Drosophila melanogaster: one gene and its partner. The protein of the gene in region 1 purifies or fractionates together with the protein of each later gene. This does not show direct contact. Each region holds a gene or a part of one and is shown on either strand. Other genes may lie near its edges. The genes, in order: CDK2AP1 and MTA1-like.

Region 1 (4,213 bases):
AAATCGAACCCAACTGCTTGTCGAGGTCGCCGACAGCGTCTGTTTTTTTTTTTTCGAGTGTCCCAGTGTGTGTGTGTGTGCTGCTTGCGGGTCGGCGTTAGTATGTGTGTTTGTGCTGAATTCAAATGCCAACTGTCGTTTTCGTTGCGTCTGGCAACGGATAACAAAAAGGAAAAACGGCAGCCCGCTGGCTGGGAATTGGAAATAGGAAAAGGGGAGCTCCGAGCCAGCGTAGGATCGCGAAAATCCCAACCGAGTTGCTGCTTTTGTTGTTGTGCGCCCATTTTGTGGGCACTGGCGGCACTGTGCAACACTGACACACACATAGCGACACATATGCAGCTGCGGCAAGCCTTTTGGCCGAAATGCAGCGAAAAAAACAACAAACCGCGGCGTTTGGCAGCCAATCAATGCTTTCCGCTCCTAATTAGATGCAAAACTGATGAGAGAGAAACACAACACTTGCACACACACACATATGCAAGGAGTGGGGGGAATGCGTTTGCTTTATCGCTTTACGTCATACACAGAGCACCCACACACACTTGCGAGCAAACACAAACACACACCGATGCAGAAAACAGACGGTCGCGGAAATTTAATTGAATTTTTCGCAATCTTCTGCCTTTCGCTCACCTTTCCTGCTATCTTCCCAACCGCTACAATGTGTTAGCACTTTCCATTAAAAAAAAAACTGGCGGATTTATCGACCGATCACAACGAAATATCACAAAATCTGCTAGAAATAGTTTTGCAAGCGACCAGATGTCAGCAACACAATTTTTTAGTTTCGCCTCGCCATTGTTTTTTGTCCCCGCCGCGTTGCGCAGCACTGGACTGCAGCGCAAACAGTGCTGGCAATCAGCCGTTGTGTTTGAAAAGTGAGACAATTGGCGTGTTAATAAGTGAATAAAATCCATATTAAGCAGGGTTACTATTGGCTAAGTAGTTTTTGGGTATATTTATGACTTTTTAGTAGAAATACAAGTATAATTTTGACAACTTGAGAGTTTATTATTAAGATTGATGTCTTGGCCAACACTAGGCAAAGTAACCGTTAAAAATGTCAGCTGTTTTGGAATTTATATCAATAAGTAATAAAAATAAGCGACCGCTTTTGTTGGCATAAGCATAAGTTCATTAAAATGTGCCTTATTTATTGAAAGAATCAACGTTTCGGCAATACTTTGTATATTTGTGTGCAATTGGCTTTTCCGCCCCCCGAAACTAGACAACACTAGACATACATAACGTTGGGTATTTTTAAGCCCTAACAAAATTAGCTGTTTAATAAGACAAATTGGGAGTGCCTTATCAGGGTGAACTAGGTATTATTCGACGTGGATGGTTATTCATTTGCATGGTTTTACCGTTTTGTCATTCATGTATACATATGCACTTGGGTTAAATTTTGTAATTTTCTTGTAGTTTTATGGTTGTTAATTATCTTTTTTTCAAAAACATTTAGCCATTTACCAATTTGGACAAAGAGCTTTCCACATGTATACAAATTGCTTGTACAGTGGAAACACCCACATTCGAGACGCGAATAGGTGGGCACTTTGCATCGCGCTTGTCTATCGATACTATAATCCGAACCATCGACTTTTGTTGGTGGGGGTGTATTTGTTTGTGCGTTGAAGGGAAAGCGTAATAACGCCTCCTGATATCGATATCGATATCATATCACAAAAAACAATAAACCAAAAAAGAAACGCTAAAAACTAGTAGTTTTGTGTGCCAGGAAAACGGAAAGGTGGACATAGTTAAGTTACCACAACAACCGACGGATATCGACTCCAGACACCACATCGCCCAGCGCCACCATGGACATCATGGATATCCAGGCCGTAGAGTCCAAGCTGAGTGACGTCACGGTGACACCGATACCGCGCAGCCAAGTGCAGAATTTCTACAATTACCAGCAGCAGCGGGAGCAGCGCGAGCAGCAGCCCCAAATCCAGATATCGGCCATCCACCACTCGCGTGGATCCGTTGGCGGAGGAGGCGGATCCAACTCATCCAACGCTGCCACCGACTACTCCACGAGCAGCGGTGGCAAGCGGGAGCGGGACCGCTCCTCCGCCAGCGACTACAGCAGCTCGTCCAGCAAGCAGAGCTCCGCTGCAGCGGCCAATGCAGCAGCAGCTGCCGCCGCCGTCGCTGCCCTCCAATACTCCCCGCAGTTCCTCCAGGCCCAGCTGGCGCTACTCCAGCAGCAGTCGAACACGACGGCCACGCCGGCAGCCGTCGCCGCTGCGGCCCTCTCGCTGGCCAACATGTGCTCCAGCAATGGTGGTCAGCGGAATTCCGGTGCCGGCGTTTCCTCCACCTCCTCTGGCAGCAATGGCCAGAGCATGGGCCTGAATCTGAGCTCATCGCAGCTAAAGTACCCGCCACCCTCCACCTCGCCCGTGGTGGTGACCACCCAAACTTCGGCCAATATCACCACGCCGCTGACCTCCACGGCCAGCCTGCCCTCAGTGGGCCCGGGCAATGGGCTGACCAAGTACGCCCAGCTGCTGGCCGTCATTGAGGAGATGGGCCGCGATATCCGGCCCACGTACACGGGCTCGCGCAGCTCCACGGAGCGTCTCAAGCGGGGCATTGTCCATGCCCGCATCCTGGTGCGCGAATGCCTCATGGAAACGGAGCGTGCGGCGCGCCAATGAGAGGAGGAGTCGCTGGCGCCGCAGCTGGCGACCCCGGAGTGAAATGGACCAGGAGGCGAGGATCGGCCTCATCTAGGTTAATTACCCCCAAACAAAAAAAACAAAAAAAAACACGGACATATAGCAAACGCAAAGATCCATTTTGTCCCAATTAAGCATTAAAGTGTAGCAATTTGTACTAACTTGTAAGCCCACATCAACTTAATGGCCCTCGGGCCGCCGGACCATAGTTAAAGAATGTTTAGACTAGCTCAGGTTACAATCGGTTAAATCGACAATGCTACAAGTATAGCTGCAGCCCAAGTTATTGGACTTGTGTATCTCTACCGTATACCCATTAATTTGTATCCGTTAATGCAAGACCCAGTTGCTCCTGTGTCTGCGTTAGTGAATGCAATCAATTACGAGTATCTAATGGCAACCGCCGTCGAGGATTTGCAGATACAAATGCAGATGCAGATACGGATGTATCTGGACAGGATTTGTGCGAGTTTGTCACTGCCGGATAAAGCTGCTCCTCGTTATTTTAGAGAACTATACAAATGCAGATATGTAGATGTAGTTAAGCAGAGATATATGTATACATATATACTTGTTATGCAAGCGAACAGTGTGCATGTCCAAGTGAATGGTGAATTAGTGGCAATTGACACGAGAATATTTATATATGTATACACATTATTTACTATATGTATGAGAGCAAATACGACTAAGTTCAAGCATGTATACCAAACCGAAACCGAAATCGAAATCGAAATAAATGCGCTATTTTGGTTTTTGTAAACGCAGAACTGGCAAACTTGATTCTAATTATGTATGAACCCCTCATAACCATCCATCCAACTGCATCTCTCATTTAAGGTATGTATGTTTCTATAGTTATATATTCAGTTTTCATAGTTCATTTCACATTTGCAGTTCGACTTGCGAGGGAGGCGTTGTCAGCAGTTGAACTTGGGACAGCAGCCGGGATAGGGTTTGCTCAGATCCTCTTCCATTTTGCAGGGCTTCAAGGAGGCGATGGCCGGGCATCTGGATGGCCACAAGTGGCAAGGTGGGTGAGTCAAGGAGTCATCAATCCATGTAGAAGCTACTCACCCCAAGGCAGTCACCTGTTTGGGTGCCTGGCAGGTGTACTGCAGGCAGCGACCTTCCGGCGTGTACTTCTCTCCGGTCTTGAACTGATGCCCACCGATCTCGCAATCCACTACGAATGAACAAGATGAACATGCGGGATTGAATGGTTTGTGGCGACGATGCACTGCATCCACTTACCGGCGAACACCAGCAGCGAGTGGGCGCCCAGAACGAGCAGGCAGAGTACGAACGTGACCGATTTCATATTATGTAGCTAACTGATCAACGGATCGCTCGGCTGGGCGACTATATAGTTCCACTTGTTTCGGGGTGCGCCAGCGATTAGACTGAAAGGTCAAGATCCCTGTGCTCCCGTGCGATTGCGTCTCAGGGGTCCTCGGGTTTATCAAATAGGTGGAAAATTCTCGTTACATACAGATTCGTTCCGGAGGCTGGCGAAACAG
Region 2 (4,843 bases), on another chromosome or scaffold:
GGCCGGGGCCCTGGGAGCAAGGGCCACCCACGAAGGTCATAATGCGACCGCCCGTATTGGGATAAGTGCACTCCAACAGGCCCACCGCAATAGATAGGGCGGCACCAGTGGAGCGCAGGTAACGCTTGCCCTGCGGCACCGGCCAAGGATCGCGTTGCAACTCGCTAAGCAGATCGCCCAGCGCCGCGTCGCACTGGCCGATCGGTTGCAAGAAGCGATGGGCGGGCGGCACAGGGGCCGCCGCTCCAGCCGGCTGGCCGGGCAGGTGCTGCTGTTGCTGCGGCCCCGGAGCCGCTCCACGCCCAATTCCGAGCATATCCTGCACCTGCTTGGCAGTCAGGTCCTTGGTACCACGAAACACATAGCTCTTAGAGCAGCCTTCCGCGCCCAGCTCGTGCACCTGTATCATTTTTCCGAAGGTTATCAGACCCACGAGAGCGTTGGTTGGCAGCAGACTTAGCGACATTTGCAACGAATCCTTGAGGGCGTCCAGCTCCTCCTCGTCCATGCAGGTGTCAACCAGGAAAATGAAGACGGGCGGCATGGTGGGGGCCCGTGTAATAGTATACTCAATAGTGCTGAATCCCGGAATCAGCTCCGCTGGTTGGTGCTGCTCGGAAATGGCAGCATATTGAGGGGGAAACTGGAATAATGACTGTCATAAACTGCCGCAGAGAGTCTAAAGATCACCATTGAGCTCACCGGATTGCGCTGAAAACAGAAGTTGCACACCCACAACTTAGCACGGTAGTCCACCTGGCACAGTGGATTCAGGATGGCCCTGCAGTTGCTGCGAGTGCACAAGACCGGCTCATATTGAATAGGCGGTAGGTCGGGGCGCTCCTTCAAAGGCTGGTAAAGACAAGCTAGGGGCACCACCAGCCGACTGGCTTCGATGCGACTTGAGGGCCACACATTCCACGTCAGCCGCACTCCGTCGCGGTCCTCGTTCTGCTGGATGAACTCCTCGTAGGTGGTCATCGCCGGAACACTTAAATGTAATACTTAAATCGGAAAAACCTCTGTTAGACCTCTGCCAATTGGAAAAATCGGTCGGTCAGGCCACGTCACGGATTGACAGCGAGTCGTGACACCTTTCGTGCTGGCGACGGCCAAAATACTCACGCGAAAGTAAACAAATTCGCGAGATGAGTCTTTAAGAGGCTCTTCAAATCAAAGCACTCACTCTGGAAACAATTTATACAAACGTACAAAACGTAGAAACCTAGACTACGAACTATTACAGAATTTTAAGTGCAAACGTTGCATGTTAGGGAAGACAGTTTTCAAGCGATACTATCGCATGCGCCCCATGCGATTGAATGAATGTTTTAATATGAGAAAAAAAGGGTGAAAATAAATATGTTTTGAAAATGATAAATAAAACAAGGTTCGCCCATAATTTTTTCAGTTAATTTTCTTAATGATATATATTGTTATTCAAGAAGTATATATAATATAAATAAATATAAATCGTATTCCTAGAAAAGCCCCTTATCGTTTTTCTTATCGCCCCAACTAAATTTTAACATTAAGTTTTTACCCAACACCCCATGTATCGATTGCTATCGATGGCCAAACTATCGCACCGTGGAGTGCATCCCTGGTGCAGCTGTTTACTCGGCATTGTGTGTGTGTGCGTGTATTTTTTAGAGTTGAGTTGTTTCTAAGATGGCGACGAAAAAAACGCGTCTTCTTATGTGAAAAATGCAATCATAACAACTCGAGTTTTCTGCTAATAAATGTGCGCTAGTTTGGAACAGGACCATTGAAAAACAGTGCTAAGCGTGTGCCGAGTGTTTTGCATGTGAAAGTTTTGGTGCGGTAGCGTAGTGAAAATGGCCACAAATATGTATCGAGTCGGAGGTGAGAAAAATTTTCGCGTACTCGCTTTTCTATCATCTTTCGTTATCGGCGCCGCCGTTTCACGGTGTGCGTGTTCGCTTCTGCATATGTGTGTGTGTGTCCAATGTGTGCGTATGCGTGTGTGTTGTGTCTGAGGAGGCTTTCCAACAATAACGAAAGTGCATTTTAATTGCCGAAAACCCTTTAGTGGGAGACCCGACGCACGTGTATGTGTGTGTGTGTGCGTGTATTATCAATCTCAAGAACAATCCGTCGAAAAGGAGAGACCTTTTCTATTTTTTTTAACTTCTTTGAAGGAGCCCCCTGCTGCTCTTGTGTCGCAGCTGCAGCAAGTGTTTTCGACGTGTTCCAACCGATAAGCATTAACTTATGCCCTAAGTGTATGCGTGTGTGTGTATTCTAGGGCTGGGGAACTGAATTGCATTTGCATTTGGATTTGGTTTTGCCGAATTGTGATCTCTCCAGCGTGTGTGTTTGTTTGACTATGTGCGAAAGTGTATCTCACTTTTGGGCTCACCGCCCACCCGCCTTTTTGTGTTTTCATATGCTAATGAGCTTTTGAGCATCTCCCCCCATCTCACGCCTCCCACTCCTCACCCTGCCTGACGCACTTTCTGTTAGCCATCTCGCTCGCGCTCGAGCGGTGACGTTATTGTGTTGTCTTCACCTGATTTTCGCAAGTGTGTGGGTGTGTGTGCTCTTTCGAAATGCAAATAAGCTCGGTCGGATACGCAAGCTTTCAATTAACGGAATCAAAATAAATATTAATGGCATATATACTTGTCGAATTATCTGCTCTTTATCGCCGAGAACTTTTTGTCTCCATCGGCGTTTTTTGTTAGCCGTTTTTAATGGCCACGCACACAGTTACACACCTTCGGCAATGCTTTCTCGCTGCCTCCACACTTTCTTTTTCATCTCTCTTCATCTATCTACCCATCTATCTGTGTATCTGCATCCCAAAATGTAGCAGAAGTGCACACGACGTTTGTATCTATGTATGTATGTACATACAGATAAACGGAATTTCTTTTATTTTTTATAATAGTCAACGACAGGTTCCGCTGCAGTTGTTGTAGGTATAAAGTTATATGGATGGATAGACCCATATGTATTTAATTGCGCTTTAGCTGGTAGTGGTGGTCGCACTTAGGTGGATGCGTGTATAGGTGTATGTGTGCGCTTACCTGTGACGTATTAATGGAGTTGCAGCCCCCCACCCTTCCATGCCCTTTTCTGACCCTTTTGCATCAGCCACCTCAAAAACTGTTTTTTTTTCAGACTATGTTTACGTTGAGACAACGCCGAACAGTCCCTACTTAATACGACGCATCGAGGAGCTGAACAAAAACCAAACCGGCAATGTGGAAGCGAAGGTCATGTGCTTCTACCGCCGCCGGGATCTGCCCAATCCGCTCGTGCAATTGGCCGACAAACACCAACGTGAGTAGAGAAACCCTGTTCCCTCGAAACCGCATCCATATCTTGCGTTACGTTACCTCTAAGTGTGTATATTTATTGTCAACAAAGTGAGGTTATGTTGCCAAGAGTCGTTGTCGTGGCCTTCAAACAAGTTAAGAGTTAAAACCTGACGACCAGATCTGCTAAGCACATGCCCACCACAAAACAACAACAAAATGAACCCGTAAGGGGCACCACTGTGTGCGCTGTGTCAAGGCATGTGGAAAGCGAAGCCACCCACCGAACCACCCAACCTCCCACAGTGCCACCCCATCCCGCAATCCTAGTCAAACTTCCTGAGCAACAAGAACCGCAATGACAACAACTGTGAGGGCGGAGCGAAAACGGATTTCGTCCAGCATCCGACTCATCCACATAAACAGGCAGTGGAACCTTCAAACAACCTGCCACATCAACTGGCAGTGTAACCACTCTACTTCGAACCAGAAGCACCATTGATCTACGTTCCAGTAGCGCAATTTGAATTATTCGTGTCGCAAATTAGAAAAAGCATTTAGCAAATAGTCTAAAAAGATATTGGTCATAGAAACTAGGTGTTTTGGGAACTGGTAATGAACATAAACACGCATCGTGGTGCGGAAATAGCCTGTAAATTATTAAGTTCAACCTTAGGCATACATATGTACATACGTTAAGGTGCCACCGGTTTGCTCTAATGATGCTCGACTGTAATGAGCTGGGCTGCACTATACTACCCGTAATGCGGTTGTTGCTGTTTTCGGTTGCTGCTAGGCGGCGCCGACGTCAATGTGAATGTGATACTTGGTTCGGCTGTAGGTAGACTACAGTAGTAGTCTGTCTACCTCTGAAAAGCTGCCACACATACCCATGCCCAACCCAACCCCAAACCCACTGACACTGCTGCTCTGTGTGCACGAAAATGTTCAAGTCAGAAGTTGGGATCTGGAGGGGATTGGAATGGAGCAGTGGAGTGGAGTGAAGCTATGGCGATGTGGCACACGCAGGAAGGCGCGCTTTGCATTTGTGTATACATACACACAGCGCCTTCATCCACTTCCTCTTCGCCGTTCCAAAAAACTCACAAAAACCATGCCCAATTGGGTTGAATTTTTGGCTTTGGCCACCCACTCGAATTCGATACGTGACCGTCGCGAAAATGCGTTTTCCGTGGGTCTGACCTGGCAGAGCAACCCACCCCAATCCACCACCCCATTCTACCTCCTACACTCCCACAAGACCAACAATGCCCATTAACACAGCCCCTTTCGGCCCCAACATCATCGGACCACTGTCATCTTGCTTTATTTTTAATATAAGTTATCCATTACGCTCCACGATCCAGTTTTTATTTGCGTGCGTCGCCTTTTCGCAGGCCACTCGCTAATCAGGCGCAGAAAACTAGCGTAAAAATATACATTTGAGGCACAAGTGTGCCGCCATTCCAACCCCAAGCTACGGACTTGATGCAAGTATCTTTGAAAGGTGGTTTTCCGAACTCCAGAAACACTTCAAAACCTTTAAAATAAAATGATTA

The links.
Region 2: the proteins of CDK2AP1 (region 1) and MTA1-like purify together in Drosophila melanogaster (affinity purification with western blotting, with the first as the bait; one study listed by BioGRID). This does not show direct contact.

What each region holds. Positions count from the first base shown.
Region 1 is NC_004354.4:11,136,231-11,140,443, forward strand, and holds CDK2AP1 (CDK2-associated protein 1), read left to right. Parts: upstream 1-1,628; 5' UTR 1,629-1,826; coding exon 1,827-2,672; coding exon of another isoform or gene 2,673-2,714; 3' UTR 2,715-3,459; downstream 3,460-4,213. Other genes in the region: ssp7 (short spindle 7), read right to left, coding at 3,614-3,704, 3,771-3,879, 3,948-4,014.
Region 2 is NT_033777.3:5,645,520-5,650,362, reverse strand, and holds the start of MTA1-like (metastasis associated 1-like), read left to right. Parts: upstream 1-1,624; 5' UTR 1,625-1,838; coding exon 1,839-1,866; intron 1,867-2,452; exon of another isoform or gene 2,453-3,092; coding exon of another isoform or gene 3,093-3,147; coding exon 3,148-3,309; intron 3,310-4,843. Other genes in the region: Sec23 (secretory 23), read right to left, coding at 1-643, 703-981.